Linked DNA regions of Rattus norvegicus. Each later gene encodes a partner of the first gene's protein in a complex. Links are inferred from orthologs where the notes say so. Each region holds a gene or a part of one and is shown on either strand. Other genes may lie near its edges. The genes, in order: Tmem237, Tctn1, Cep290, Tmem216, B9d2, Tmem17 and B9d1.

Region 1 (3,500 bases):
TTGAACTGAGAATGCGGTCCCCATTGGAGGAGTTAGAGAAAGGATTGAAGGAGCTGAAGGGGCTTACAACCCCATAAGAATAATAATACCAACCAACCAGAGCTCCTAGGGACTAAACCGCTACCCAAAGAGTACACATGGACAGAGGATAGCCTTGTCAGGCACCAATGGGAGGAGAAGCCCTTGGTCCTGCCAAGACTGGACACCCCCCACCCCCATTGTGTAGGGGAATGTCAGGTCGGGGAGGAGGGAAGGGGTGGGTGGATGGGTGGGGGAACACCCTCATAGTAGAAGGGGGAAGAGGAATGGGATAGGGGATTTATGGATGGGAAACCAGGAAAGGGGTTACATTTGAAATGTAAATAAAAAATAGCATATATATATATGATATATATATGATATATATATTTAAAAAAAGATGAATAAATTGGGGCTAGAGAGATGGCTCAGCAGTTAAGAGTACCAACTGCTTCTGGAGGTCCTGAGTTCAATTCCCAGCAACCAAATGGTGGTTCACAACCATCTGATGGAATCTGATGCCTCTTCTGAAGAAAGAGACTGTATACTCACATACATAAAATAAATAACTAAATCTTAAAAATAAAGATGAAGAAATTACATATCTAAGTAGTCAAAGGTGAAAGAAAAGGAAAGTTACAGTCCAGTGTAATTTTTAGAATAAAAAAAATAGCAAATTCAACCCCTTCTATTTATTTATTTATTTATTTATTTATTTATTTATTTATTTAGGTTTTGAGCACATGTGCTTGTAGGTGTGAGGTAGACGAGTGACATTCGTGTGAGGTCAGGACAACTTTGTGGGGCCAGTTCCGTCCTGCTGCCTCTGTGGGTCTAGGGCCAAGCTTAGGTCAGCAGACTTGATCTGAGGCAGCACCTTTACTCCACTCTGCAGGCTCCTGGTCTGTTTTCTAAGATTTTATTTTATTCCAATCACTTACATGTGCATGCTCGTGGAGGCCAAGGCGCCAGATCCTCCTGGACCTGCAGTTCAGGCGCTTGCTTGTTAGCCTTCAGTGATTGTGTTCTGTCTGCTCCGCACTCCCAGGGAGATTTCAGGCGGCGGACCGTTCGGAGTTGATAAAGACCACAGAAAACGTAGATGTGTCAATGGACATGAAGCCATCTTGGACTACCCGCGATGTGGCACTTTCCGTGCACCGAGCTTTCAGGTGGCTGCCTTTTGTTGGTGTTCATTAAGCAAATGTTAATTGGATAGCATCGTTTAAAAGAAAAATGTTTGGCTGTTCCAACTTCGTAAACAATTTAAAATGGAATGTAGATTTATTCTTGTAGACATTCCATTTGTGCTTTTCAACTTTATTTTATTTGAGGAGGTTTTAAAAATACCTTAGCTTTTTATTTTAGTGGCTAATACATAACTAAAATCTTCTGTGCAGGATGATCGGCCTCTTCTCTCACGGCTTCTTGGCTGGCTGTGCTGTGTGGAATATTGTTGTGATCTGTGTTCTCGCGGGAGACCAGTTCTCTAATGTCTCCAACCTTCTGCAGCAGTACAAGCCCTTGGCATATCCCTTCCAGAGCCTTCTTTACTTGCTTTTGGCTCTAAGTACAGTTTCAGCATTTGACAGGTAAGGCTGTTGTGAATGCGGGCTCTTCTAACCTTCCTTCAGGAAGAAATAGTAAGCAATATATGTCACTATGGCTTTTCAAGGTTGAATGACCCTTTTTTAAACCAGTCTTTGGATTAGTATGGCCTTGTCTTCATTTCACTGTATTCATAGAGATCTTGTTTCCAAATGAAGTCACTTTCTTAAGGACTAAGGTTAGACCTTCACCACTTATTTTGGAGAACACAGGTCAACCCATTTTTAAAAATATCAGCAGGGCTGGAGAGATGGCTCGGTGGGTAAAGATGCCTGCTGCTAAACCTGCTGTCCTAAGTTTGCTACCCAAGAGCCACGCTGTGGAAGGAGACAACCAACTCCTACCTTCACATAGCTCCTGTGTGTGTGAGTGCATGGGCGTGTACCCACCTGCCCATACAAACTAAATAAAATCACACCCCCCTCAAAAAAACCCAAACAAACCCTGCCTATTGTCATGACTGGCCTGTTTTTGTGATAAAACACTATGCAAAAACAGTTTTGGGAGAAACAGGTTTGTTTTACCACATATTGTATGGTCCCCTGTCAGGGGAACACACAGCTAGAACTCACCAAGGCCAGAACCTGGAGTTGTGAACAGAGACCTGGTACTGGTTTCTTCTCCATGGCTTGCTCAGCCTTCTTTTTATACAACCCAGTACACCTGCCCAGCGACGGGCCTGCCCCAGCGATGGTGTCGCCCAGAGTGAGCCGGGCCCTCCCACAGTCTTGATTTGTTCCTTGGTTGTTTTTTTTTGTTTGTTTGTTTTATTTTGTTTTTGAGACAGGATTTCTCTGAGTAGCCTGGGCTTCCTGGACTCCCTCTGTACACTAGGCTGGCCCCAAACTGACAGACCCACCCGCCTCTGCTTTCCGAGGACTTGGATTAAAGGTGTGCACCACCCCGGCCCTGAGCACATCAAGAAAATGCCCCGATAGACTTGCTTACAGCCCAGTCCTATGGAGTCATTTTCTTAGTGGAGGTTCCCTCAGCTTCCCAGATGACTCTAGGTAAAGACCAGTTGATAAAAACTAGGCAGCACTGTAGTCCAATAGTTTACCGGGAAGAGGAGGAAGCTAATGATTTTTGCCAATCAAGGTTAAACTGTTTCCTCATGTGTCTTAATACTCATCTTCGTGTTAGATAGACTTTGTAAATCAGGTAGATACTTTCTTTGTTGAAGTTCAGACGTTAACTAGAGACTGGCAAGGGACAGACGTGGTGGCGGTAGAATAGAGAAGGGGACCCAGCAAGGGAAGATACTGTTGTGTTTCAGCTGCACAGTGACACAAAGTCTTCATCTCGTTCTAGGATCGACTTTGCTAAAACCTCAGTAGCAATCCGGAACTTTTTGGCCCTGGAGCCAACAGCTTTAGCCTCTTTCTGTAAGTAATAGTTACCTTAATAACTATGTTATAATTGAGGAGAAGAAAAATATTGTACAATTTATACTTTAAAATGTGGTAGGAGTAATTTTTTTTTTTCGGAGCTGAGGACCGAACCCAGGGCCTTGCACTTGCTAGGCAAGTGCTCTACCACTGAGCTAAATCCCCAACCCAGGAGTAATTTTTAAGAACTGTTTTTTGTTTTTGTTTTTGAGGCAGGATCTGTTACATAGCTCAGGTTGGCCTTGAACTTTCTGTGTGGTTGAGGATAGCTTTGAACTTCTCATTCTGTTTGCTTTCCCTTAAGTGCTGGGATTTGCAAGCATCCTCTGCTGTGCCTGGCTTACAAGTGTTTCTCATTTGAAGATCATCTAAGAGGTCCTGGGTTTAATGCCCCACACCAAAAATAATAAGTAAAGTTAAACTTGCTGGCCTTCATTACTTACTTAGCTTCTGTGTTTCCCCTTGGCAGACTCAGATGGCCTGGCA
Region 2 (3,999 bases), on another chromosome or scaffold:
TTTATATATTCAGTGCCGAGAACTGAACCCTGGTCCTCTGCAAGCAGCAAGTGTGCCTAATGGCTGAGTCATCTCTCTAGCCCCTAGATGGACTCATTGACCTATGATGGGGAAAAAAAAAAAAACCTAACAAATGAGTCCCCAGGGTCCCTAAGGATTCCAAAAACGTATGAGCAGATGCAGTCTACACCTTGACTTTTACATTGGGGCCATCAGGGCTTGAGATTAGATAAGACGACTTTGAGAACTGAACTTTTCGCAGAATGGTTCGAAGCATGGGACTGTAAGACTTGAGGAGGGGTTGGAGGGTTAAGAGTTCTGGCTGCTCTTTCAGAGGTCCTGGGTTCAATTCCCAGCACCCATACGGCAGCTCATGACTGTCTATGACTGTAGTCTCATGAGATGTGATGCCCTCTTCTGGTGTGCATACGGACATAACACCCATATACAAAAAATACACAAATAAACCTAAAGAAAGAAAGGAAGGAAGACAGACAGACTTGGGAGGCAGAAGCAGGCGGTTCTCTGAGTTCAAGGAAGCCTGGTCCACAGAGTGCGATCTCGGACAGCCAGGGCTATAGAAACTCTGTCTCAAACTCCTCCCCCATCTTCCCCAACCAACCAACGAACACACGAGAACATTCCGAATGACATAACAGCAGAAATGGAGGTTGGATTCCGTGGTGCATGTCTGCATGAGGCACTGATATAGGACTTCCTTGAGTTCGAGATTAGTCAGGCGGACACAGAGAGATCCTGTCTAAAAGAACCAAAAAGTTAAGAATTCTTTTGTTTCTCTTATCATAAATACGTGGATAGAAGTGGTCTGGCGACCTCCTGCGTTGTATCTAAAGGCAAAGAAAGTAAAGTCAGTAAGTAACATGGGGTAAGAAATTCAAGGATGGTGGCAATATGTCTTAAAGGACTCCAGTCGCCTCTAAACATGCACTTCTAACCATGACACATTAGTTTACAGATTCCGGTTTTCAGAGGGCTCCTTAGAAAGAGCAGTCTCAGACCCCGCCCCCACGGTCCCGGCCCCGCCCCTCCGACGCCAATCAGGTCCCGCCCATAGCCCTGCCCAGTTCCCGCCCCTTTCGTGATCGGCGGGCCTTAACCCAATCCCCGCTGGTCTGGCTTCAGGCCCCACCTTTCTCCGCAGACTAGCGTGGCCTCGCGAGCCCTTTCCCGTGGTGCCTAGCGCTCGGCTGTGACTGTTGCCCGGCAACAGACAGGCCTAGCTCTCTGGCGCGGGATAGTATGCTAGTCCATGGGGTCGCGGTGTCTTCCGCCGCTCCTGCTGGTGCTCCTAAACTGCTGCACCTCTTCGAGCACCCAGGTCGTTGCCACCCCGGCTGCGGCCACCCCGGTGGTGACGAATGAGGATCTCAACTTCACCGAGGCCACCCCGGTGGTGACGAATGAGGATCTCAACTTCACCGAGGCCACCCCGGTGGTGACGAATGAGGATCTCAACTTCACCGAGGCCACCCCGGTGGTGACGAATGAGGATCTCAACTTCACCGAGGCCACCCCCGCCACTCTCAGACCCTCCTGGTCTCCTAGGACCCCGGGAACTCCCAGGCCACCGGAGCTCTCTGGCCCCAGGCCCACCCCGGTCACGGACGGTGGGTACAAAGTGCTAACTCCCTGGAGCGAGTAGACCAGTAAGAACGTACGGAAAATGATAACCCTTCTCAAAGTTCCACCTTTCTCAGCCTCCCTGTCGTTCCCTGAGAGGGAGACGGGATCTCCAGCACACAAACGCGGAGAGCGGAGCTAAGTTACTCCCTTTCCCACATAATTTCAAACAGCTGGAGTGTTGATGCAGAAAGTGACTCTGGAGTGGAGTTCTAGATAGAAACCTTCAGAATGAGTTGTAGGCAGTACTGGTAGAAGAAAGGGTGCTAAGTAGATCTTAGTCCTTTCCATGCAGACACACGGACGTGAGCATACGAATGCTGTTTAGATGACTTGAGAGCTCAGTGGAGTTATTAAACATGCCAGCTTTACCCTCATCTTCTTACCTTCTGAAGCTTTTCCAATAATTCGTGGTTGTAATTTTAAACACATGAGGCAGTGGGCCTAATTGCTCTCTTTCTGCTTTCCGTGCCAGTTAAGGGATTGTGGCGTTATTTTAGCGAGCATGCCCAGTTGTCCATGGCTAGAGAGGACCTCATCTAGAAGGAGCACATTTGCCTTTCGGACTAAGAAACATTTTGCATTTATCAATAAACTTCCTTTTCCTTTTGTGTCTTTCCAAAGCACATTATACCATTTTGGGGGAGAATTTTTCTTAAAAAAAAAAAAATATATATATATATATATATAAATATATAACACACACACACATACACACATATTTAATTATGTGTGTATATTTGTATAGGTGAGCACTTGGGTGGCTGGATATATATTGGTGACCTTGGAGAACATAAAAGGGCCTCAGAGCCCCGGGAGCTGGAGTTGGTTTGTAAGCTGCCTGACTTGGGTGCTGGGGACAGAAGCAATATGTGCTTTTTTAAAAACTCCTGAGCTATCTCTCCAGCCTCCTGTAGAAATATTCTAGTCTCCTGCTTTCTCCTTTTTTCTTAACTTTGTTCCTGACAGTTTTGCTAAGTGACCCAGACTGGCCTATATATAACCTGATACCTTTCTGACTATCCTGACTGCTTCCCTGTTGCTGAGATTCCCAGGTGTGGGCCTCCCATCATGCCTCCCATCATGCCTCCCATCTCTAGAGGTTGTTTTTATTTTTTTTTTAAATCATTCATTCATAGAAACAATGCCATGATGTCCTATTAGCTAAAGTTCTTTAAGCCTGAGATTGTTGCCTCTCCCACTCCCCCTAGGAAACAAAACATTACAGTTAAGAATCAGGGAGCTGGAGAGATGGCTCAGTGGTTAAGAACACTGACTGCTCTTCCAGAGGTCTTGATTCAATTCCCAGCAACCACAGGGTGGCTCACAACCATCTATAATGGGATCTGATGCCCTCTTCTGGTGTGTCTAAAGACAGCTGCAGTGTACTCATATAAACAAAATAAATAATTCTTTTTTTTTTTTTTTTGGTTCTTTTTTTTCGGAGCTGGGGACCTAACCCACGGCCTTGCACTTCCTAGGCAAGCGCTCTGCCACTGAGCCAAATCCCCAACCCCAAAATAAATAATTCTTAAAAAGAAAATCAAGTCAGGTGGTGGTGGTGGTGGTTGTACACACCTTTATCCTGGGGTAAGGTGGGTGGTACAGAGGCAGGTGGATCTCTGAGTTCAAGCCAGCCTGACCTCCAAAGTAAGTTTCAGGACAGCCAAGGCTACACAGAGAATCCATCTCAAAAAAACAAAACAAACAAACAAACAAACAAACAAAAAAACCAAAAAAACAAAACAAAACAAAAAAACCCCCAAAGATTCAGTGACATTTTAGCTGGGGAAAGGGAGAACCGTGGTGGGTCACAACTGTGATCCTTCATCTTCTGCTGAGAGGTGGGAGGTTAGGAGATCCGATCCAAATGAGCCTCTGTTTCAGAAAACAAAGAGCAAAACAACCAAGATTATCAAAGCCCCAAATTTATTACTTCCTCCCCCTCACGGCAGTCAGAGCCATGCATTCAGTTTACTTCCAGGCTCTGGTACTGGTCGTCCTCGTTGTTGTATGTTCTGGTTTTTGAGATTTATAAGGGGTGTTTTGCCTCTGTAGATACCTGAATGATGCCATATATGTGCCTGGTAGGTACCTGCAGAGACCAGAAGAGGGCATGAGATCCTCTGGAACCAGAGTAACAAATGGATTTCTCTTTTTCATAGATTTATTTATTTAGTCATTTAATGTATGTGAGTACACCGTAGCTGTCTTCAGACATACCAGAAGAGGGCGTCAGATCCCACTACAGATGGTTGTGAGCCACCATGTGGTTGTTGGGATTTGAACTCAGGACCTCTGGAAGAGCAGTCAGTGCTCTTAACCACTGAGCTATCTCTCCAGCGCCTGTTATTTCTT
Region 3 (3,500 bases), on another chromosome or scaffold:
GCAAAGCAGTGTCGCCTCTGTGACTCTCACCTCATTGCCATGTAGCCTTCTGTAATGTCTGTCTTCTGTTCGTTCAGTGTGAAAATGCATCGCTGAAAGAACAGATGGAGGGGCTCAGTAAAGAGCTGGAGATCACAAAGGAAAAGCTCCATACCATCGAACAAGCCTGGGAACAAGAAACGAAGTTAGGTAAGTCTTATTACTCCGGGAATACCGGGTGAGAGATAAATAACAGTCGTTTTTTTCTTTTTTCTTTTCTTTTTTCTTTTTTTTTCTTTTTTCTTGTTTACTGAAAAATTCTTTTCTGTAGCAGAATATATGGATATAGTTTGATTTAAAAAGATGAACTGTATCCCATACCTTAGTTTAGTACACAGAGGAAGAATACTATTCTGGGTGTTTGCTTTATAGTTCTCACATGAGATTTTTTTTTTCCTGTTAAAATCATATGTTATTAATTTATGATTCAACACTAGCTATTTCTGTCTTTATTTTTCATTAATATATTTATTCACTTTGCTTCCTGATTTCAGCCCCCTCCCTGTTCGTCCAGTCCACCCTCACAAATCCCTCCCTCATTGCCTCCTCCCCTTGAGTATCACTTGGGTACTACCCTGCCCTGGGACATCAAGTCACAGCAGGACTAAGGGCATCCTCTCCCACTGAGGCCAGACCAGGCAGTCCAGCTCAAGGAAGGGGATCCAGTGGCAGGCAGCTGAGTCAGAGACAGACCTGGTTCCAATTGTTAGAGCACCCACATGAAGATTATTTTGAATTATTATAATGGTATTCTTGAAATACATGTTTTTTTCTGAATACAAAGTTTATGTGTTGTGTATTATTTGATACCTTTTAAAATATCAAAGAAAATTTGGGGATTTATATTGCTTATATTTGTAGCAGTATATCATCATAATTCTTTTATGGATGTTTTTATTTTTATGTATTTTAAATAATAAATATTACTTGTTATATACTATACCAATTTAGTAGAAATTCCAATTATTTCCATATTTTAATCATTTTTCTCATAGAAATTTATGCAATATTATATTGTTTGAGTGATTATGATTAAAGCATTAGTTTTTAATTTTGCCATTATTTAAAGTGCTGCAGAGATCTTCATCTTTATCTGACTTGCCATATTATTGAATATAAAATTGTAATATGATAGTATTTGATACTGCATGCTTATAATGCCCAAAATAATGCTTATTATTTGAGATTATCTTGTAGAGTTTCTTAATCATATCACTTAATATTTTACTGTTGACTTTAAAAATATTGCACCTATATGTCTAAAGTCACACTGCTGTCCTGTATTGTCCCAGTGCAGTTAACATTACTTCCACAGCAAGTGTTCTTTACTGCTTGTCAACATGCTCCAACCTGTGACAGCTCTACATTGACCTACACATGGCCATTTCAGTAAATTGCATTTTTTATTGTCATTTGATAAATGGAGATCTTTATTCTAGAAAGAATACATGAATAAGGATCAGAAAGATAGGAATAAATAAATGGAATACAGATATGTCTTAATTCAAAAGTTCATACAACTGTGCTTTTTTTTTTTTTTTTTACACCTCTCCTTAATTGTCTTTTGTGTGTTGTATTATTCCACGTAGGAAATGAATCAAACATGGATAAGGCAAAGAAATCAATGACAAATAGTGACATTGTTTCTATTTCAAAAAAAATCACTGTGTTGGAGATGAAAGAATTAAATGAAAGGCAGAGGGCTGAACACTGTCAGAAAATGTATGAGCACCTAAGAACTTCATTGAAGCACATGGAAGAACGAAACTTTGAATTGGAAACCAAGTTCACTGAGGTTTGATACGATTTTTTTGATGTAAATAGGCAGTAAGAATTCAATAGTAGACACTGGATTATTGCTAGGAACTTTGTGTCTCTAAGCTAGCATATGCATACAGCATTTGCACTTTATATAATGGATATATAGACTATTCTTTCGAAATCTCAGTACTTTACACTGAAGCACTTGTTTCTGTAAACACATTCTTTCTTGCCAATGTCATGGTATTGTTTTTAGTGAACAGAAGGATGTCATTTCTTTAAAAGCAAGTTGTCTTCCAATACTATCTCTTGTTTAAAAAGTATTCATTCTCTTTTTCACTCCAGCATCTGTTTGGGAACTGAAATTATATAGTAAGAGGCAAAATAGTTAAAAATCTGTGTTTTCAAAAACTTTAACAGCAGGTTATTATAGATACTTAGTGTGCTCTGAATTAAGTAGTCTGCAGATACTCAACAGCCTATGATTGAGTGACACCTTGCAGATGCTTAGGTTAAGATAGATTTCAAAAGCGTAAGTATCATTTTTTTCTTTTAAGACATTTAATGTTAGTAAAAATTTATATATTTTATAAAATTTAAAATTTTGTTGGCTCACTTGGGTTTATTCTTAAGTACTTTGCTTATATTTCAAAAATTCTTATGTATTGATTGCCAACATAAATAATTTATGATAGAATTAGACTATTAACTACATTTTTTAATTTGTTCTTGATTCTTTCTTTAGTTTGTTCTTATCACTTTATACCTGTTTCTGGGCTAAGGGAAAGTAAAGAAGACTGTAGTACTCAAGAGAGTAGAAGTTATGTCTCCAGACTGGAGCTGTATGTAGTTCATTGACTTAAGTTAGTGCGTGCCCTGGGTTCTATTCCCAGCATAAGGTAAATAGAATGAATACAATCACATAGTCCTGGGGACTGTTTTATTGTTGTGGCTTTTCCCATAGCTTACCAAAATCAACCTGGATGCACAGAAGGTGGAGCAGATGCTGAGAGATGAATTAGCTGATAGTGTGAACAAGGCAGTGAGCGACGCCGATAGACAGCGGATTCTAGAACTGGAGAAGCGTGAAGTGGAGCTCAAAGTGGAAGTGTCTAAGTAAGTGCTATTTCCTTTGTCTTTAAGTTCAATTACAAATATATGGAGCAGTACCTATACTCATATTTTTAAAAAAGAGGATTAATATTTTTATTTGGTTGTTTTTTAACCAGATGATATAACATTGAAGAGGAAATTACATCTCACAGTTTGCTTTTTTTTTTCAGAATGTAAGGATGCAACTGTAGAAGGCCTAAAGTTAAAACAGAAACCACGTAGGGCCTATGTCTTACTCATTGCCTGTTTGGGGGGAAGTAGAGATGTAAGAGTCACTTAGTATTTCATTTATTCACTTTTAAAAGAAAGGAATTTTACCTTTTTATAAGGTTGGTGTAAACATATAATTAATTTATATTTAGATTTACTTTAATTTTCTTCAGAGCTAGCTATGTGGTAGGCATCGTGTAAGACATCAGACATATTAATTCATGAATTCTTGCTTTCTAACACTTGGAAAATTGCCTTTCATTTGACAGTAGAAACTGCCCAGCTACTTTAGAACACTAACTATATGCGCCAGGTAGACACTATCACTCTTTATCTGGTCAGGTGCTGTTCTAGTGGGATCATAAGGAGCTTTGAGT
Region 4 (4,209 bases), on another chromosome or scaffold:
TGTACACAATATGTGTAGGCAGGGTGATTTAAGACCCATAATTTAAAAAAAACAAGCAACTGGTCCACCTTCCTTTGCTCTGAGGTTCAGAGCAGGAGGTGTGTAAAGGTAGCACAGTTGGGGTGCAGGAACCAGGGTTCTTTCCATCACCTCATCTTGCCCTGGTTCTTGATAGTGGGGATTAAAATTCCATTTAGGACCTGCCAGAGCGTTGTGACACCCACTTGAAACTCCAGGACTGGACGGGAAGCAGAGGCAGGAGAATTTGAGGCCTGCCTAGCCTACATAGGGAGATCTGTCTAGTCAAACTAAACCAGACCAGAATAAGCCAGTGAAGGAGGCAGGAAAGCAGAGGTGGAGGTGGGGAGTGATAGAAATAGGCTTCTGCTTAAATTATTCTCTCCAGGTGAGGAATTGCTTTAGGTCTTTTTTTTTTTTTTTTTTTTAAATTTGAGTACACTGTAGCTGTCTTCAGACACACCAGAAGAGGGCATCAGATCCCATTACAGATGGTTGGGAGCCACCATGTGGTTGTTGGGAATTGAATTCAGGACCTCTGGAAGAGCAGGCAGTGCTCTTAACCGCTGAGCCATCTCTCCAGCTGCTTTAGGTCTTTGAGAAGCAACAATTACTGCTTTTATTCACTAGGTAGGGAAATAACACTTTCATTACAGGTTAGTTACTCTCTCCAGTTATTTGTTGTCTGACTGCCATACTCTAAGGGCTGACTGCAGAGTCAACCCATGTCTTTTCAGAAGTCTTACTCTTTTACTCTGCGGCCTGCAACAACACGCTCTTGCTTCGAATTGCGGCCAGGATTCTTAACTCAAGCTTGTTGGAAACATCTCTCAATTTCTACCTGGGCATAAACTGTCTCCCTTCAACACCTTTGCACTTTTTGGGTGGCAGGAGAGCCACGTTATAGCACCGCTGTTTACCACATGTCCTAGAAAGGTCATTCTACCTCCAGTGGTTTTGGTGTTTCCACAGGATTTTGTTGCGTCAATGGGCCCTAGGTAAGCCTTGTGCACAGTGGCATGCCGTGCTGCTTTTTTTTTTTTTTCTAAACTAACACATGGCAGTAGAAAGAGAATGGTGGGCCTGGGGCCGCTCCTCCAAGTATTCGGCCGCACCCGGCCAATGAAGCCCAACACCATGACGCCAGGGGTGGAGAGTTCAGTTCGAGAGCTGTTTGGGTCTCCTGGGCTCTTTCTGCCTTCGTATATAACCTTATCCTCTCCCTAGACCACAGTCCGCTGTTGACCGCGGGCGTTGCTCCGTGCAAGGGCGCGGCCGGTGGGGTAACCATAGAGTAGCACTCGCAGGCAGAGCGGCCAGAAAACCCGGGCGCCTCTGTGCCGCGCTTCCGGCAGCGCTGCATTGCCCCGGGCGCTGCAGCGTACGCAGTTTCCATGGGGACTGAACATGGCGCCGCGAGGTGAGACTCTGGAGGTGTGTGTCTCTGCCCCTTATATCCCACTGGTACCTGCCAGGCCCCTCTCCAGAGCTCTACCTAATCCTCCATTTCTAAAAGTTGGGGTCTTACTCTTCACTTGTCCGAATTGGGCTTGGGTTGCTCAGACCACCCCGAGTGGCTGCATGGATACTCGGATACTGTACTCTTAAAAATTCCAGGCTGGCCCTGCTCTGGGATGGCCCAGTTACGAATCCTCCGGCCTTGGACAGAATTAAGCAAATTTCTGTGCTCCAATGTCCTCTTCAGTAGTGACAGGGTTGAATATCTGAGGTGCCTCTCGGCTGTGATTATAGCTTAATTGTCAGAGAAGTCGACCTTAAAGTGATTCCTGGGAAAGGAGGTTGAAGGCAGTTCCCTTCACATCAACACTCTTAGCAACCAGAAGTTTCTCCCTCATTCACAATAACCTTGTGTTTTCTACAGATTACACAGAATCATTACACAGAACGGGGCAGAGCTCCAGCTGCCCTGTCCATTCTTTGTGTTGCTTTTTTTTTTTTTTTTTTTTTTTCCCAGATAAAAGATTGTCCTCAACCCCTCTGGAAATCCTGTTCTTTCTGAATGGGTGGTACTATGCTACCTATTTCCTGCTGGAGCTCCTTATTTTCCTGTACAAAGGTAAGGCTGGGCCTAACTGGCCTGCTTCAGCAGCCCTTTTCTACTTTAGCCTACTCCAAGAACCTTCTATCTTCTGGCCCCTGCAGCATCTCCACTGCAAGGCAGAAGTCTCTCCAACTAGTGGCTTTGGAATGATCAAGTAGGAAGTCTTTCAGCAAGTCTTGAACTTGAGAAATGTGGGCTTCCCCATCCCTCTTTACTGAAATATTCAGATCTGTGTACCGTTATAATTCAGTCATTTGGGAGTCAGGACTTCTAGACTTAAAGCCTGTGGCTGTAACAATCTATACCTTGCTAACTGATTCATGAGAAGTTAAGACTAGTATCCTTGTCCCTGGATGTGTGGCAGCCTTGTGGGGATGTGGGGGCTGTTTACATACTCTGGCTTTTACACTTGTAGGTCTCCTGCTGCCATACCCAACAGCCAACCTAGTCCTAGATGTGGTGATGCTGCTCCTTTATCTTGGCATTGAAGTAATACGATTGTTTTTTGGTGAGTGTTGTTCAGAAAATATTTCCATTGCTTATGAGACATGCTGGAGCCTGAAACTTGATAACCTAGGCTCACTATCAGAGATTGGGTCTGTGTAATGTATACCATTGATTGCTTCCTCCCTAAGGCTTCAAGCTGCTGCTTTGTATTTTAGGTCAAGATTTACCTGTGTGTTTCTAAGTGAGGCTAGAACTGGCAGTAGCATTTGATCTTAGCTCATTCCTTTCCAGTTGCCTGACTACTACAAGAGTGCCTGCTTCTTCTCCTTGCTTTGTTTGAGAGAGTAAAGCAGTACATTCCTAAAGAACTCTAAGGTTCCCTCCACTTCTCTAAACAAGGATTCCTCTAGAAGCTTTTAAACACCAGAGACACAGAGCAAAACTGCTGATTACTTAGAACATATCATCCCAGTGTTAAGATACAAACCCAAGGGAGAAAAATGGTAAGGGACACTAAGAGTCAGTTCACATATAGAAGACCAAAAACCTTGCTAAGGTGAGCATGGTGGCACATGCCTTTAATCCCAGTACCCACTGACAGAGGCAAGAGGATGGCTATGTGTTCCTAGACATAGTGAGTTCCAGACCAGACAGGGATGTATAAGGAGATCCTAGCTCAAAACAAACAAACAAACAAACAAACAAACAAACAAAAAAACCTGCCAATGTGATCAAACTTAGTAAAGAAAAGCAACAAAAACAAGGGAAAAAAAAGCAAAGAAAAACATGGTAACATTTTTTTCTTTTATATATTGGCAATAGTAAGAAAGATTTATACAGTACAGAATCCATATTTGGCTTTTAGAATACATATTTTTTAATTAAAACATTGTTTTATGTCTATGGATACTTTGCCTGTATGTATGCCTGTATAGTACGTGTATGTCTGGTACCCACAGAGGTCAGAAGAAGGTCTTGGGCTAGAGATGGCTCAGAGGTTTAAAAGGACTTTTAAACCTCCTGCTTTTGCAGGAGGACCCCAGTTTAGTTCCCAGCATTCACATTAGATAACTTACAACTGTCTAATTCCAATTCCAGAGGATCCAATGTTGTCTTCTGGGCTTTGTGGGCACATACAAGCACAAGTAAGAATTAAAAGTTATTTAGAGAGAGAGAGAGAGAGAGAGAGAGAGATAGAGAGAGAGAGAGAGAGAGAGAGAGAGAGAGAGAGAGAGAGAGAGGCGTCAGATCCTCTGGAACTGAAGTTACAGAGTGCTGAGCTGCCATTGAGTAAACCTGGTCCTCAGGAAATCAGCAAGTGCTCTTGACCACCCAGTGCTCCTTCTCTGTAGCCCTAAAGAACAGACATTTTTAATGCACTTAAATTATTTTCCATATGAATTGAAGTTTTAACGTACATATACATTTACATACACACATGTATATTATAGCTATACATATTTTACTTTGTTTATAAATTATGTGTATACATGTGGATATAAACATACATGTGTATACACACAGATACGCAGTTTGGTTTTGGTGTTTTGAAGCAAGGAGACCAGGATGAACTTGAATTCTCAATTCTGACCTTAGCCTCGTGCATGCTGGGATTATAAATGTGTACTTCTATGCCTGGCTCATATGTTGCTTTTTTTGTCTTTTTTCTTTTTTGAAACAGG
Region 5 (4,020 bases), on another chromosome or scaffold:
GTCCGTGTGTGAGCAGCGGCAACTGGCCCATTTCCTGTCCCTCGCCTTCCCATCCAGCTCTCTTCACCCTACCCGGCCTCCTCACTGCCTTCTCCTCTGCCACTTGACCCCCCTCCCCCTGCTATCTCCTCTACCCCGACCTCTGGCACATTCCACGGCCTAGGTAGGGTTTTGCATAGCTCGAGTGAAGCCTCAAATGCACCAGAAAAAGGACCCACAAAGTATGGGGAGCAGAGACGGCCAGGGTGTTCCAAGCCCAGCTCTTCCTAGTTTGACTGCCCCTTCCCTTCCTGTCATCCTGTACGTACCTTGGAGACCTTTTGTAGCAAAGTGCAGGTCAATGGGGTGGGACCAGTAAGCCATGTCCCCTGTCTGGGGTGTGTCTACCTGCGTCTGGCCTTCCCGGACGCCTGACAGGAGCTTCCATGCGGCCCCTGTAATGAGAACAGGACACAGGGTTGGGGGTGAGTAGCACCCTTCAGGAAGGAGACCTGGTTTGTTTTCCCCTGGTATTTGGGAGTGGGGAGTTACACAGTGTAAACACTAGAACCAAATATCTGGATTCAGATCTTGGCACCCGCAGTCTACACCTGAAATCTCAGCATGTGGGAGTGTGTGGAGGGCTTTCCTGGGCTGCCTGATGAGTGTGAAGTCAGCATGGGCTACAGCGTGGGTCTCAAAAGGAAAACCGGAAGGAGATGAAGAGCACCTGAGAGAGAACAGACCTGGGCGGTGATGGCACTCACATTTAGTCTTAGCCCTCAGGAGACAGAGGCAGGCAGATCTCTGTGAGTTCGAAACCAGCCTGGTCTACAGGAGTTCCCAGGGCTGCCAGGGCTACATAGAAAAACCCTGTCTCAGAAAACAAATAAAGTCTGGTACTATTCATACATGTATTGTGTATTTTGCAGTGTTCGGGATGGAACCTAGAGCACTAAATATGCAAGGGCTCTGTAGCAACAATGTACAATCCACAGCCCCAAGTCTTATCTTCTTTTATCTGTGCAACCCCTGCAGAGTTACTTTTCTCTGTTTCCCTATCTATAGAACGAGTGACAAAAAAAAAAAGTCTCACAATTTATGAGAAGATGTAGAGCAAATATGGAGTATTGATTTTTAAAATATTCATCATGTGTTAGTCCTTATGCATACTGCTGGGGATACCATCCAGACAGGAGCCTTGTGTGTTATTCGGTACGTGCTCTATGCTCTAATGAGTTATATTCTCAGCACCGGTATCCTCTCATATAGCCAAGGCTAGCCTCAAACCTCTTACGTACTGAGAATGACCTTGAACTTGTCCTGACCCTCCTGCCTACCTTCCCCAAGTGATGAGATTCCTGGCATCCTTTCCCTACTATCCCCACCACCCCCATTCAGAGGCCTAGTTCAAAAACCTCACGAGATTAGGCACCATCTGAGAGCAGCACACCATGGCCCCAGTGAGGAATAAGGGGAAAGTGCCCACCTACTGAGCGCTAAATCCCAGATGCTGTGCTAAATGCTCCAGGAAATGCCTTCATCGTATCTCCCTCGCCCAGCACATACACCAAGCTGTCAGACTCCTCACTGTCACCTCGAAAAAAAAGCCACACGTGCACTCTTGATCCAGTCAGTCATCAGCCACTACCCTTCCCCACCCTGGAGCCTCACTGGTCCTGTCCTGCTCCCTTGCCTCAGGGCCTTGGCAGTGGCTGTTCCTTTTGCCTGGAAATGTCTGCTCCTGGGTGCCCTATTTCCGGCCTTTTCCCTCCTGCCCCAATTCAAGAGCCACTTGCACAGAAAGGCTTTCTCTGACTCAGACCTCCCTATCCCAAATCAACCTCCAGTACATCACTCTGCTTCTTTTTTTCTAGCGCTTACGATAATCTTGTGAATATTTTGTGCTCTTTTCTTTGAGACAGGGTCTCTTGCCATGTAGCATAGGCTGGCACCAAACTTGTAGGGGTTTGGGGATTTAGCTCAGTGGTAGAGCGCTTGCCTAGGAAGCGCAAGGCCCTGGGTTCGGTTCCCAGCTCCGGAAAAAAAAAGAAAAAAAAAAAACTTGTAATGGAAGGCTTCCTAGGTGCTGGAATTATAGATATGCATAACCACACCTAGCTTGTCTACTGGCCTGAGGACAGGAAGTGTGTGTGTGTGTGTGTGTGTGTGTGTGTGTGTGTGTGTGTGTGTTCTATGTCACAGCCCCATATGCTTACGGGCTATGTTTTCAGATGGTGGTATAACCTGAAAGAAAAGGATATTTTTTCTTTCTTTTTTTTTTTTTTTTTTACCCCGGAGCTGGGGACTGAACCCAGGGCCTTGCGCTTTCTAGGCAAGCGCTCTACCACTGAGCTAAATCCCCAACCCCTGGATATTTTTTTTTTTTTTAAAGCAGACAGTATGGTATAAGTTCATTGGAGAGTCGTGGAAAGAACATGGAGACATAGGCTAGGGGAGGCGGGTGGGTAATAGTTGGGAATGTGGGAAGAATACCTGTGTGGATGCCCCACTTGCAGAAGAGGCTACCTTCAGAGAAACCCGTGGCCCCTATGATCTGCCCGATCACGTGCACTTCGGCCATGGCTCTAGGAAAGGAAAAATCCAATCACAGCTCTGTGAGGTAAACTTATTATTTCCTTTGGACAACTGGGAAAACTGAAGCCAATATAGCATGAAGAACAGTACTGTGATTCTAAGCTAATTCCACTAACACACTGACAATGTGGTCTTCATCACAGATACAAGCCACCTTCCCAGAAAAGCCCAAGAAAAATGGGGAAGACCCCCCACCCCCGAGAGGTGCGGGAATCTGCACCAGTAAACCAAGGCGCAGACACTTAGAAAGCCCCGCCCCAGGATGTGTGACTCCACCCATTCGCGGTAGATCAGCCACGCTTCAAAAGGCGCATGCGTCTCAGATGTAGTGCTGCTTTAGCCCTACCCCTAGGCGTAGCGCATGCGTCGCTCCTACCTCTGCGTACTTGACCGTTAGAAGCGAAAGCTGCTTCGGGGATGGTAGTTCATGGGCCTGGCCTCTTCCTCTTTGCGGCCGCCGCCGAGGCTAGTCTCGCGCCCCGCCCGGGCCCTTCCAGGCGGAGGAAGACCTGAGGTAGATAGGTCCGCAGCCTCGCTCTCCTAGGGTTCCCGGGTTGTTGCTGGGGCAACAGCAGGCTCCTCCCCTGAGCCCGCCCTGTGCGCTGATGATTGGTGCTATATTTGCCCTCTGGGGGTGGGGCGTAGTTGTGATGGACGCAGTCATTCGGTACATTTTTGGGAACTCTGCGTCGGTCTTACCCTCGCGACGCCTTACGCCTCAGAGTGGGAGGCCTGGCGGGTTATCTCCATCAGCAGTCGAGGAAGTTAGAGCGCCAACTGTTTCCTCTCCATATCTTCTTCACGCAATAAGAAAATCTATTGATAGTCTTTGCTTCCTTAAACAAAACAAAACACCTTTCCTGTTCAGGATCATAGTCAGAACGAAGCCAGATGACACCAAACGGGCACCTAAAGGAATTCACATTGTGATCATCTCTCTGTTACAGCTGAAGGGATAAAAGGATCTCCACATTCTGACACTAGAGGACTTGGGAAGTAGGTTTTCTCTTCTGTTACAGGTTTTCTCTTCAGTTTTCAGAGCTCCCTCACATTGCTGCTTGTTGCTCTTCCAGAGAACTGAAATTCTGTTCCCAGCATTCTGCACCTCCAGCTCCAGGAGTTACAGCTCCACCTCTTCCCTCCCCCTGCACATGTGGCATACACAAATAATAAAAATAAACCCTACAAAAGGAAAGGAAGAAGCCCCTTTGGCAGAGGATTGAAGGGGGTCTCTTTCCTTTTTTCTTAGATTTTTTTTGAGTTGGAGCCAATTTTAAAATTTAAAACATTTGGGCTGGAGATTTAGCTCAGTGGTAGAGCGCTTACCTAGGAAGCGCCAGGCCCTGGGTTCGATCCCCAGCTCCGGAAAAAAAAAATTTAAAACATTTTATGATGAGTATTGTGGCTTGTGAGAGACTGAGGCAGGAGGATTGCTGCAAATTT
Region 6 (4,145 bases), on another chromosome or scaffold:
TTGATTATGTTCCCCCACTCCGAAAGAAATCTTGCCCCTCTAGGTATTTTCCTCTCTGAACTGCATATAAGAAGTGCTGGTTAGGGCTGGAGAGATGGTTCAGTGGTCAAGAGTGCTGCTTGCACACACACACACACACACACACACACACACACACACACGTATATACAGGGAGCAGCACTATTAGGAGGCATGGCCTTGTAGGAGGAAGTGTCACTGGAGTTGGGCGTTGAGGTTTCAGACGCTCAAGCCAGGTCCACTGTCACTCTCTCTTCCTGTTGCCTGCCAATCTGGATGTAGAATTCTCAACTACTCCTCCAGCACGTCTGCCATGCTTCCTAACATGATGATAATGGACTAAACCTCTGAATCTGTAAGCCGGCTCCCATTAAATGTTTTCCTTGGTTACGTTGTATCTTCACAGCACTAGAAAGACTAAGTAAGACAGAAGACAGAGACTCTAGGAGCCAGAGTTGGGATACATTATTACATCTTTCTGGGCATTCCCCTAATCATCTCTGGAGGGATGACTCCTCACAGGCTGTTGTGAGGAACTCCACTCTTTCCATTATGCCTATCACACTTAGTGGGCACTCCACAGACAGTGCCCTTCCTTGTATACGGAGACAATGCTGTCTCAGTGTAAGCACAGATTTCACTTAACATGTCCTGTTCAGAATCGTACAAATACCAACCATGTAGAAGCAAAAAGAACTGATTTTCAAAAGCATGCTGCCATACAGGTGGCCATTTGTGACTCACACATTCTACTTACTAGACTGGTTACCCAACATCTTTTGCTTTTGTATAAAAGAAAAGGTCCGGGGATTTAGCTCAGTGGTAGAGCGTTTGCCTAGGAAGCACAAGGCCCTGGGTTCGGTCCCCAGCTCCGAAAAAAAGAAAAAAGAGAGAGAGAGAGAAAAAAAAAGAAAACAAAAGGTCCTTCAACAAGAATTTGATTATAAAAATTGAGCCCTAAAATACATTATAATTTAACTACATTCTTATTTTAAATTGGTTGTTCTAAATGTAAGAATTTAGGAAGATAATGAGAATTTCCACTGAAACTGATTTTTGTTTTTCTCTGCATAGTTTTTTTTAATTGACGGTTAATACTTTTAAAACAATCATGGGGTAGGGGACTGGAGAGATGGCTCAGTTGTTAAGAGCACTGACTGCTCTAACCAGAGGACCTGTGTTCAATTCTCAGCAACCACATGGCAGTTCACAATTGTCTGTAACACAGGTGTACATGCAGGCACACAAGCATAAAAGCCAATGCACATAAAATAAAACAAATTAATGAAAAAAAAATCATGGTCTCTAGAAGGAAACTAAGTTTTAAGAGCAAGGCTGACTATTGTGGTCTGTTTTTCTTGCTTTGATTTCTTAAACTATCCTAAATTATCCCAAATATAGGAATGACTTTTTTTCCCCCAAGGCAGGGTTTCTTTGTATAGCCCTGGCTGTCCTGGAACTTGATCTGAAGACTAGGCTGGCCTCTGCCCACTGAGTGCTGGGAGTAAATGCATAGTCAGCCTTGCTACTATCTAGGTTGTTGAGGCTCTGCACGGTAAGGCTCGCACTTTAAATCAGAAACATAAAATCCTAATTTTTTTCAGGTTTTCCCCTACATAACCTAAATTACACAAATGACCAAGGTGACAAAATGCAATGATGAGAAGTGGCTTTGTTTTCCAATACCCCCTTTAAAAAATAAAAATAAAAAAAGCCCAAATCAAGACGGATTTCCACTTTCTTGAGTTCAAAGGTGAAAATCATGTACGCTGTCGTCCTGATTGAGGAGGCAGAAACTGGGGTCAACTCGGTGGTATTTCGTTATTAGATTGAGGGAGAGAGTTTTTTATACAGGGAGAAAGGAACAGGCAGAGGAAGGCCATGTTAGCTTGGCCGCTGCCAGTGGCTGGTGAGGAACGTGCTTGCTCTGCTAGGAGTTTGGACACAGCCCGGTTTTGTGCAGGGTGGGAGCGGGAAGCCTCTTCCCCACCCTGGCCTGCGAGCGGACTGCTTTCACGTAGCGGGGACCGGCTTGTGGGAGAAGGCGTTCCTGCTATGCACTCTGCCTCCCAATCCGCTCGGCGACAGCGCCACCGGGTGCAGTAGCTGTGGCTACTGAAGCTCGTGGTCTCCCGGGTCCGCCACAGGGTCGCGGTCTCCTAACCCAGGACAGTACCCTGGCTGAAGCCGTGGCCGCCATCTTTGACCCGGGCACGGCCTATGCGGCCGCCCGCCCGCGAACCACACCTCCGCGTGGGGCCCCTTGCCACTCACCCGCGGCCTCACTGGACTCTGGCCCGGTACGGCTGGAGTCGCCGAACATGGTGAGGCTGAGGTTGCTCAAGCGCTGACGAACAGGGTCCGGCAGCTCCATGTCTGGCCTGCCCGGGCCTATCCCCTCACGTTCCCGCTAGTGGGCCAGCTCAGCGGCGCGTGGCGGTTCCCTTGGCAACAGGGCTGTGCTGGCCGCTGGGGACCTGGTTCCTGGGCTGCCCGGCGCGGAACAGAGTCCTCCAGAGCCTTCTCCGCGGAGAGGCGAGCGGGAGCCACCGGCCCGCTGCCGAATGTGGCCTAGTGCTGCTGAAAATGGAGGGTTCCTCCGTCTTGCTTTAAAGCTGCAGCGTCTTAAGATGATCACAAGTAATAAGCCATTTGGTCCTGAGCTGAGCCACAAGGAGCTCTCACACCAAGGCAGTTTTTCCGTAAAATTGGTGCGCCATTTCTAGAGGGAAATGGAAAAGAAACATAAATCTTAAAGAATGCGCTTGACCCAGTAGGTTCCTTTCTATCGGTACATAAAATCTGGAGTAAGGCCAGGGTGGATGAGACAAGCAAACCTGCTTCAGAAGACAGGAAAATAACTCAAAAGTATTGAGAGCAGTTGTTTCTGGAATATGGGTGACTTAAAAACTAAAAACATCAGCCGTTCCCTGCTCTCCCTTAAGATGTATCATTTTAGCACTCAGGCAGAGACAGGAGATCAGGCTAGCCTGGACTACATTGCAAAATCCTTAAAACCCAGAACAAACCGTAATAGCCATATAAAGAAAAGCACAATCGGATGTACCAGCACCCAAGTCAGTCAACCGTATCAGCATCTCCAGGAGCTACGTTTTCTCAGTTGCTTATGAAGCAACTTTATAGTACACTAATCGCACACTGAAGTTTAAAAAGAAAATCTGACTTTGATGTCAACATTTGTATGAATCTTCTTTTTATTTTATGATCACACCAAGTTTGTCTATGTTGATAAGTTTCTGTGTAGTTTCTACGTAGGAGCAGTTATGACAGGTGCCACTGTTGGTGAAAATGCTTGTTGGTAAGCATATGTTTATGTTGAGTATAACATACACCTTTTTGTCAAGTGTAACATTCACGTTTATGTTGAGAGTGTGCCGGAGAAGTGCTGAGTGGAGTGGTGTGTAAGACCGATTTTATTGGGATCTACGAACACATTCCCAAAGAGGTTTCATCAGACTCTCCCACCTCCAGCTATATTTGAACGTCCCTGTTATTTCATGAGTGTGGGCTTATATTCCACCCTAACCTTTTCATCTTTCTGGTGAAGGGCGGTGGGTCTGCAGATGTCTCAGCGGTTACCAACACTCACTGCTCTTGCAGAGGACCCCGGTTCATTTCCCTTTACCCACATGGTGGCTCACGTCTGTAACTCCATCAGAAACCTCGTTCCCAAAGGGAGTGAGAAAGGATTTATTCTGAGCTAACTATGAGTCCCCAAAGCGGGAAAGATAGATTCAGGTTATCCAGGTAATCTGTTCCGCCATCAAAGTGGCAATATGAATTTGTATTACTAGAGGGTGCAAGATAGCCATAAATCAATGCGTCTACTAAATCCATTAGTGAGGACACCAGGTAGGCAGGTCACAGCAAGGCAGGGACACCTTTGCCATAGGTCTCAAATGCTGTATGAGGGTATAATAGCTTTGGGTTGGTGGATTGGTGAAAGCCACAATCGGCTAACCTAACAGATTCCAAAGGTGTTTTCTGAATGGAATGATCAGATACAGAGGCAAGTGGTAAATGGATATCAAGAGGACTGAAGAGAGCCTAAGATAATTTCGTCCTTTGATCTGTAACATTCTAACCAACAATTACAGAAGCTCGGA
Region 7 (2,549 bases), on another chromosome or scaffold:
CCACAGCAAGCTTTGGTGAGACCAGCAGTTGTGGAGTAGTTTGACAACATGTTAATTCATGTGTCACACTACCAGCATGCGTGGAGAAAACTAGGGGCCCACAGATGTCAGGGTGTTGGGCTACGGCGCTTGCCCGGAACCCGCACTGGTGGTAGTCTCCTGCCTGGGATGGTTCTTTCCCTATCCTCAGGCAGCACACGAAGATCAGGATGGAAGTAGGGCACAGGAATGCATGGTGGAAGGCAGGTGCCGCTCAGGGCCCTGGGAGTCTGCTAACAATACGGTAAATAGTCACAGTGCCAGCCATGGAGCAAGTGACTAACTTCCTGATGCTGAAGAAGACACTGAAAGGGGGGGTCAGCTCTGTGCAAACTGCTCAGCAGTCCTGGAGAGGCCTCCACTCCAGCATGACATTCTACTGGGTACATCCTGTTGGGCGCCAGGCCTGTTTCTGTTAGAGAGGTGCTAATGAAGAAATCAAGAAATGCAGGCCCCAGAATCTCTGAAAAAAAAGTGACACTTTATTATATAAAACTATCTTTATCTCCCCCACTTCTCAGCCAGGTTGGTATGTCCTTGGTTGTGTGTGGGCTGTAAGGTATTTGGTCCACAGTGGTGGAGAGAAAAGCTGACATTTTTATTGTGGGTTTCCCTGTGGCAGGCTGGGACTCAGGACTCCTTGTGTGTCCACAGGCCCAGTATCATAGCCCAGCTTCTTCATGTCCTTGGTCACCACATTGAAGAGGAGGGTAACAAATCCCTGAGAGCGAACACGGGTCACTGGGGACAGAAGCTGAGCATTAGCTGGGTTTGACTGGGACAGACAGAAACCACCTGCTGAAGCCCTTGTGTAGGTAGGTGGTGGTCTAGAAAGTTCTTTGGGTGTCTTGTATATCACTAGGTCCCAGTTGTCTGGAAGCTCCTTGACTTTCACACATGTGTTTTCTGGGCTCCTAGGGATTGGGGACCCATCTCAACCCTTAAGTTACCTGAAGCATCAGTCTTACCTTCCCGACCTTCACCCTGGGCCACCACCTTGGGGTCAGTGTACTCTGGCCGACGTCCCATGAACCAGCTGAGAACAGGAAAACACCAGTGAGGAGCACTTGGGACTTGCTGGCTTCAGACACTGAACAAGAGTGTTCCAGGCTTAAGAGGTTGTAGCATTTCTCCTGCAACCCCTCCTCTAGGTGCCAGGGCAACCTCCTACCTATTTGATAGGCCAAGCGGGGTGCCAGGAGATGTCCCCTGTTAGGGGTCCATTGCCAACAATTCTAATAGTGCCAGGTGCTCCAAGGGGTGTCTAGCCTGCCTGGCCAAGTCTTTTGTGGTTTTAAGCCAAGGGTGAATGTTGAGAGAGATGCAGGGCCAATAGTACAACCAGGAGAGAAAGCCTAACCCCAAGAAGGGCCAGATCCAGCTTCCTAAGCTTTGTCTCCTTATGTGGGATCCAGGACAAGCCACACCCCACCACTGAACCTGTTTATCTAGTATAGGGTAATAATAGCACCTACCTCATGAGACTGTGAAGTGAAGGCACCCTATCACCTGCTGTATGAAACATTACCCATTCTAGGGAGGATCTGGCCCTGGAAGCCTGTGGATAGCGACAGGTCATCTGACTTTTAAAAGTCTCACCTAGCCAAGGGTACCATTCAGCCCCCAGGCCCTGGCTGGCAAACTCAGAAGCACTTCCTACAAATGTCTTGTAATTCACAATCCTATTGCACCCAAACTTCAGATCCTGGGCCCCACCCACAGCTCTATGATATATGGATACAGACCCTGCATTTTGTATAGGCTTGGAGCATACAGAATTAGCCCAAGCACAGCAGCTAGGACTAACTCAGGCTTTGTGGAACAACTCCAGCATTCCTGTTTGCCTGAAGAGGTAGGACTTCGTCTTCTACCTGGACAGTTTGCAGCAGGCATTCTTGTAACCATGACTACACACCCACAACCTACAGCTATGCTGAGGTTATGGCTAGATCTCTGGACTTCTAGGCTAGACATCACAGTCCTATTAAACTGCTGGGTAGGAGTTCCTGAGGGGGCCGTAGGAGAAGAGTTCAGACAACCTAAGTAGAGAAGCCAGGATTCCTACAGCTAAGCATTCTAGAAACTAGATGAGTGGGTGTCTCTCTTCTGTTTCCCAACATAAAAGTTCTAACTGCACTCAGTACTATGAGGAGTCTCAGAGCAATCCTGGCATGTAGGCACCCTGGCCATATTTCCAGTTCTCTTCTACAGTCATGGTTACCAGAAAGCCTGCTCCAAACTACCCAGAAAGTAGACAAAGTCCTACCTCCTCAGGCAAACCGGAATGCTGGTGGAGTTGTTCCACAAAGTTCTCTCTACATTTAAGTGAAAAAAATCTTTTTCCATTTGAGAAGAGACAGAACAATGTTCCAGGCAAGGGCTGAAGCAGAGCAGAACCTCGTGGGCTCAAAAATCCAAGGGCTGATAAAAGGGAAGCAAACAAGGGAGGCCACTGCCATCCTGGTTCAAGAGACTCCCAAATGCAGAGGGTAAGCCACAGTGCTTCCAGC

Evidence for each region.
Region 2: Tmem237 (region 1) and Tctn1 share a complex: the UniProt entries of both Homo sapiens proteins name them as parts of the tectonic-like complex. The link is inferred for Rattus norvegicus from reciprocal best matches to the Homo sapiens genes TMEM237 and TCTN1.
Region 3: Tmem237 (region 1) and Cep290 share a complex: the UniProt entries of both Homo sapiens proteins name them as parts of the tectonic-like complex. The link is inferred for Rattus norvegicus from reciprocal best matches to the Homo sapiens genes TMEM237 and CEP290.
Region 4: Tmem237 (region 1) and Tmem216 share a complex: the UniProt entries of both Homo sapiens proteins name them as parts of the tectonic-like complex. The link is inferred for Rattus norvegicus from reciprocal best matches to the Homo sapiens genes TMEM237 and TMEM216.
Region 5: Tmem237 (region 1) and B9d2 share a complex: the UniProt entries of both Homo sapiens proteins name them as parts of the tectonic-like complex. The link is inferred for Rattus norvegicus from reciprocal best matches to the Homo sapiens genes TMEM237 and B9D2.
Region 6: Tmem237 (region 1) and Tmem17 share a complex: the UniProt entries of both Homo sapiens proteins name them as parts of the tectonic-like complex. The link is inferred for Rattus norvegicus from reciprocal best matches to the Homo sapiens genes TMEM237 and TMEM17.
Region 7: Tmem237 (region 1) and B9d1 share a complex: the UniProt entries of both Homo sapiens proteins name them as parts of the tectonic-like complex. The link is inferred for Rattus norvegicus from reciprocal best matches to the Homo sapiens genes TMEM237 and B9D1.

Annotation. Positions count from the first base shown.
Region 1 is NC_086027.1:68,042,583-68,046,082, reverse strand, and holds part of Tmem237 (transmembrane protein 237), read left to right. Parts: intron 1-1,066; coding exon 1,067-1,190; intron 1,191-1,418; coding exon 1,419-1,610; intron 1,611-2,413; coding exon of another isoform or gene 2,414-2,517; intron 2,518-2,937; coding exon 2,938-3,011; intron 3,012-3,500. UniProt on the Homo sapiens protein: Component of the transition zone in primary cilia. Required for ciliogenesis.
Region 2 is NC_086030.1:39,969,395-39,973,393, forward strand, and holds the start of Tctn1 (tectonic-1 precursor), read left to right. Parts: upstream 1-1,199; 5' UTR 1,200-1,270; coding exon 1,271-1,628; intron 1,629-3,999. UniProt on the Homo sapiens protein: Component of the tectonic-like complex, a complex localized at the transition zone of primary cilia and acting as a barrier that prevents diffusion of transmembrane proteins between the cilia and plasma membranes.
Region 3 is NC_086025.1:37,241,783-37,245,282, forward strand, and holds part of Cep290 (centrosomal protein of 290 kDa), read left to right. Parts: intron 1-77; coding exon 78-189; intron 190-1,628; coding exon 1,629-1,834; intron 1,835-2,764; coding exon 2,765-2,916; intron 2,917-3,500. UniProt on the Homo sapiens protein: Involved in early and late steps in cilia formation. Its association with CCP110 is required for inhibition of primary cilia formation by CCP110.
Region 4 is NC_086019.1:216,623,720-216,627,928, reverse strand, and holds the start of Tmem216 (transmembrane protein 216), read left to right. Parts: upstream 1-1,409; 5' UTR 1,410-1,425; coding exon 1,426-1,438; exon of another isoform or gene 1,439-1,452; intron 1,453-1,993; coding exon 1,994-2,095; intron 2,096-2,495; coding exon 2,496-2,588; intron 2,589-4,209. UniProt on the Homo sapiens protein: Part of the tectonic-like complex which is required for tissue-specific ciliogenesis and may regulate ciliary membrane composition.
Region 5 is NC_086019.1:90,316,330-90,320,349, reverse strand, and holds the start of B9d2 (B9 domain-containing protein 2), read right to left. Parts: upstream 2,801-4,020; 5' UTR 2,564-2,800; coding exon 2,476-2,563; intron 891-2,475; exon of another isoform or gene 435-890; coding exon 309-434; exon of another isoform or gene 1-308. UniProt on the Homo sapiens protein: Component of the tectonic-like complex, a complex localized at the transition zone of primary cilia and acting as a barrier that prevents diffusion of transmembrane proteins between the cilia and plasma membranes.
Region 6 is NC_086032.1:100,718,327-100,722,471, reverse strand, and holds the start of Tmem17 (transmembrane protein 17), read right to left. Parts: upstream 2,801-4,145; 5' UTR 2,393-2,800; coding exon 2,293-2,392; intron 896-2,292; exon of another isoform or gene 821-895; intron 1-820. UniProt on the Homo sapiens protein: Transmembrane component of the tectonic-like complex, a complex localized at the transition zone of primary cilia and acting as a barrier that prevents diffusion of transmembrane proteins between the cilia and plasma membranes.
Region 7 is NC_086028.1:46,691,697-46,694,245, reverse strand, and holds the end of B9d1 (B9 domain-containing protein 1), read right to left. Parts: intron 1,130-2,549; coding exon of another isoform or gene 1,076-1,129; coding exon 1,008-1,075; intron 781-1,007; coding exon 638-780; 3' UTR 503-637; downstream 1-502. UniProt on the Homo sapiens protein: Component of the tectonic-like complex, a complex localized at the transition zone of primary cilia and acting as a barrier that prevents diffusion of transmembrane proteins between the cilia and plasma membranes.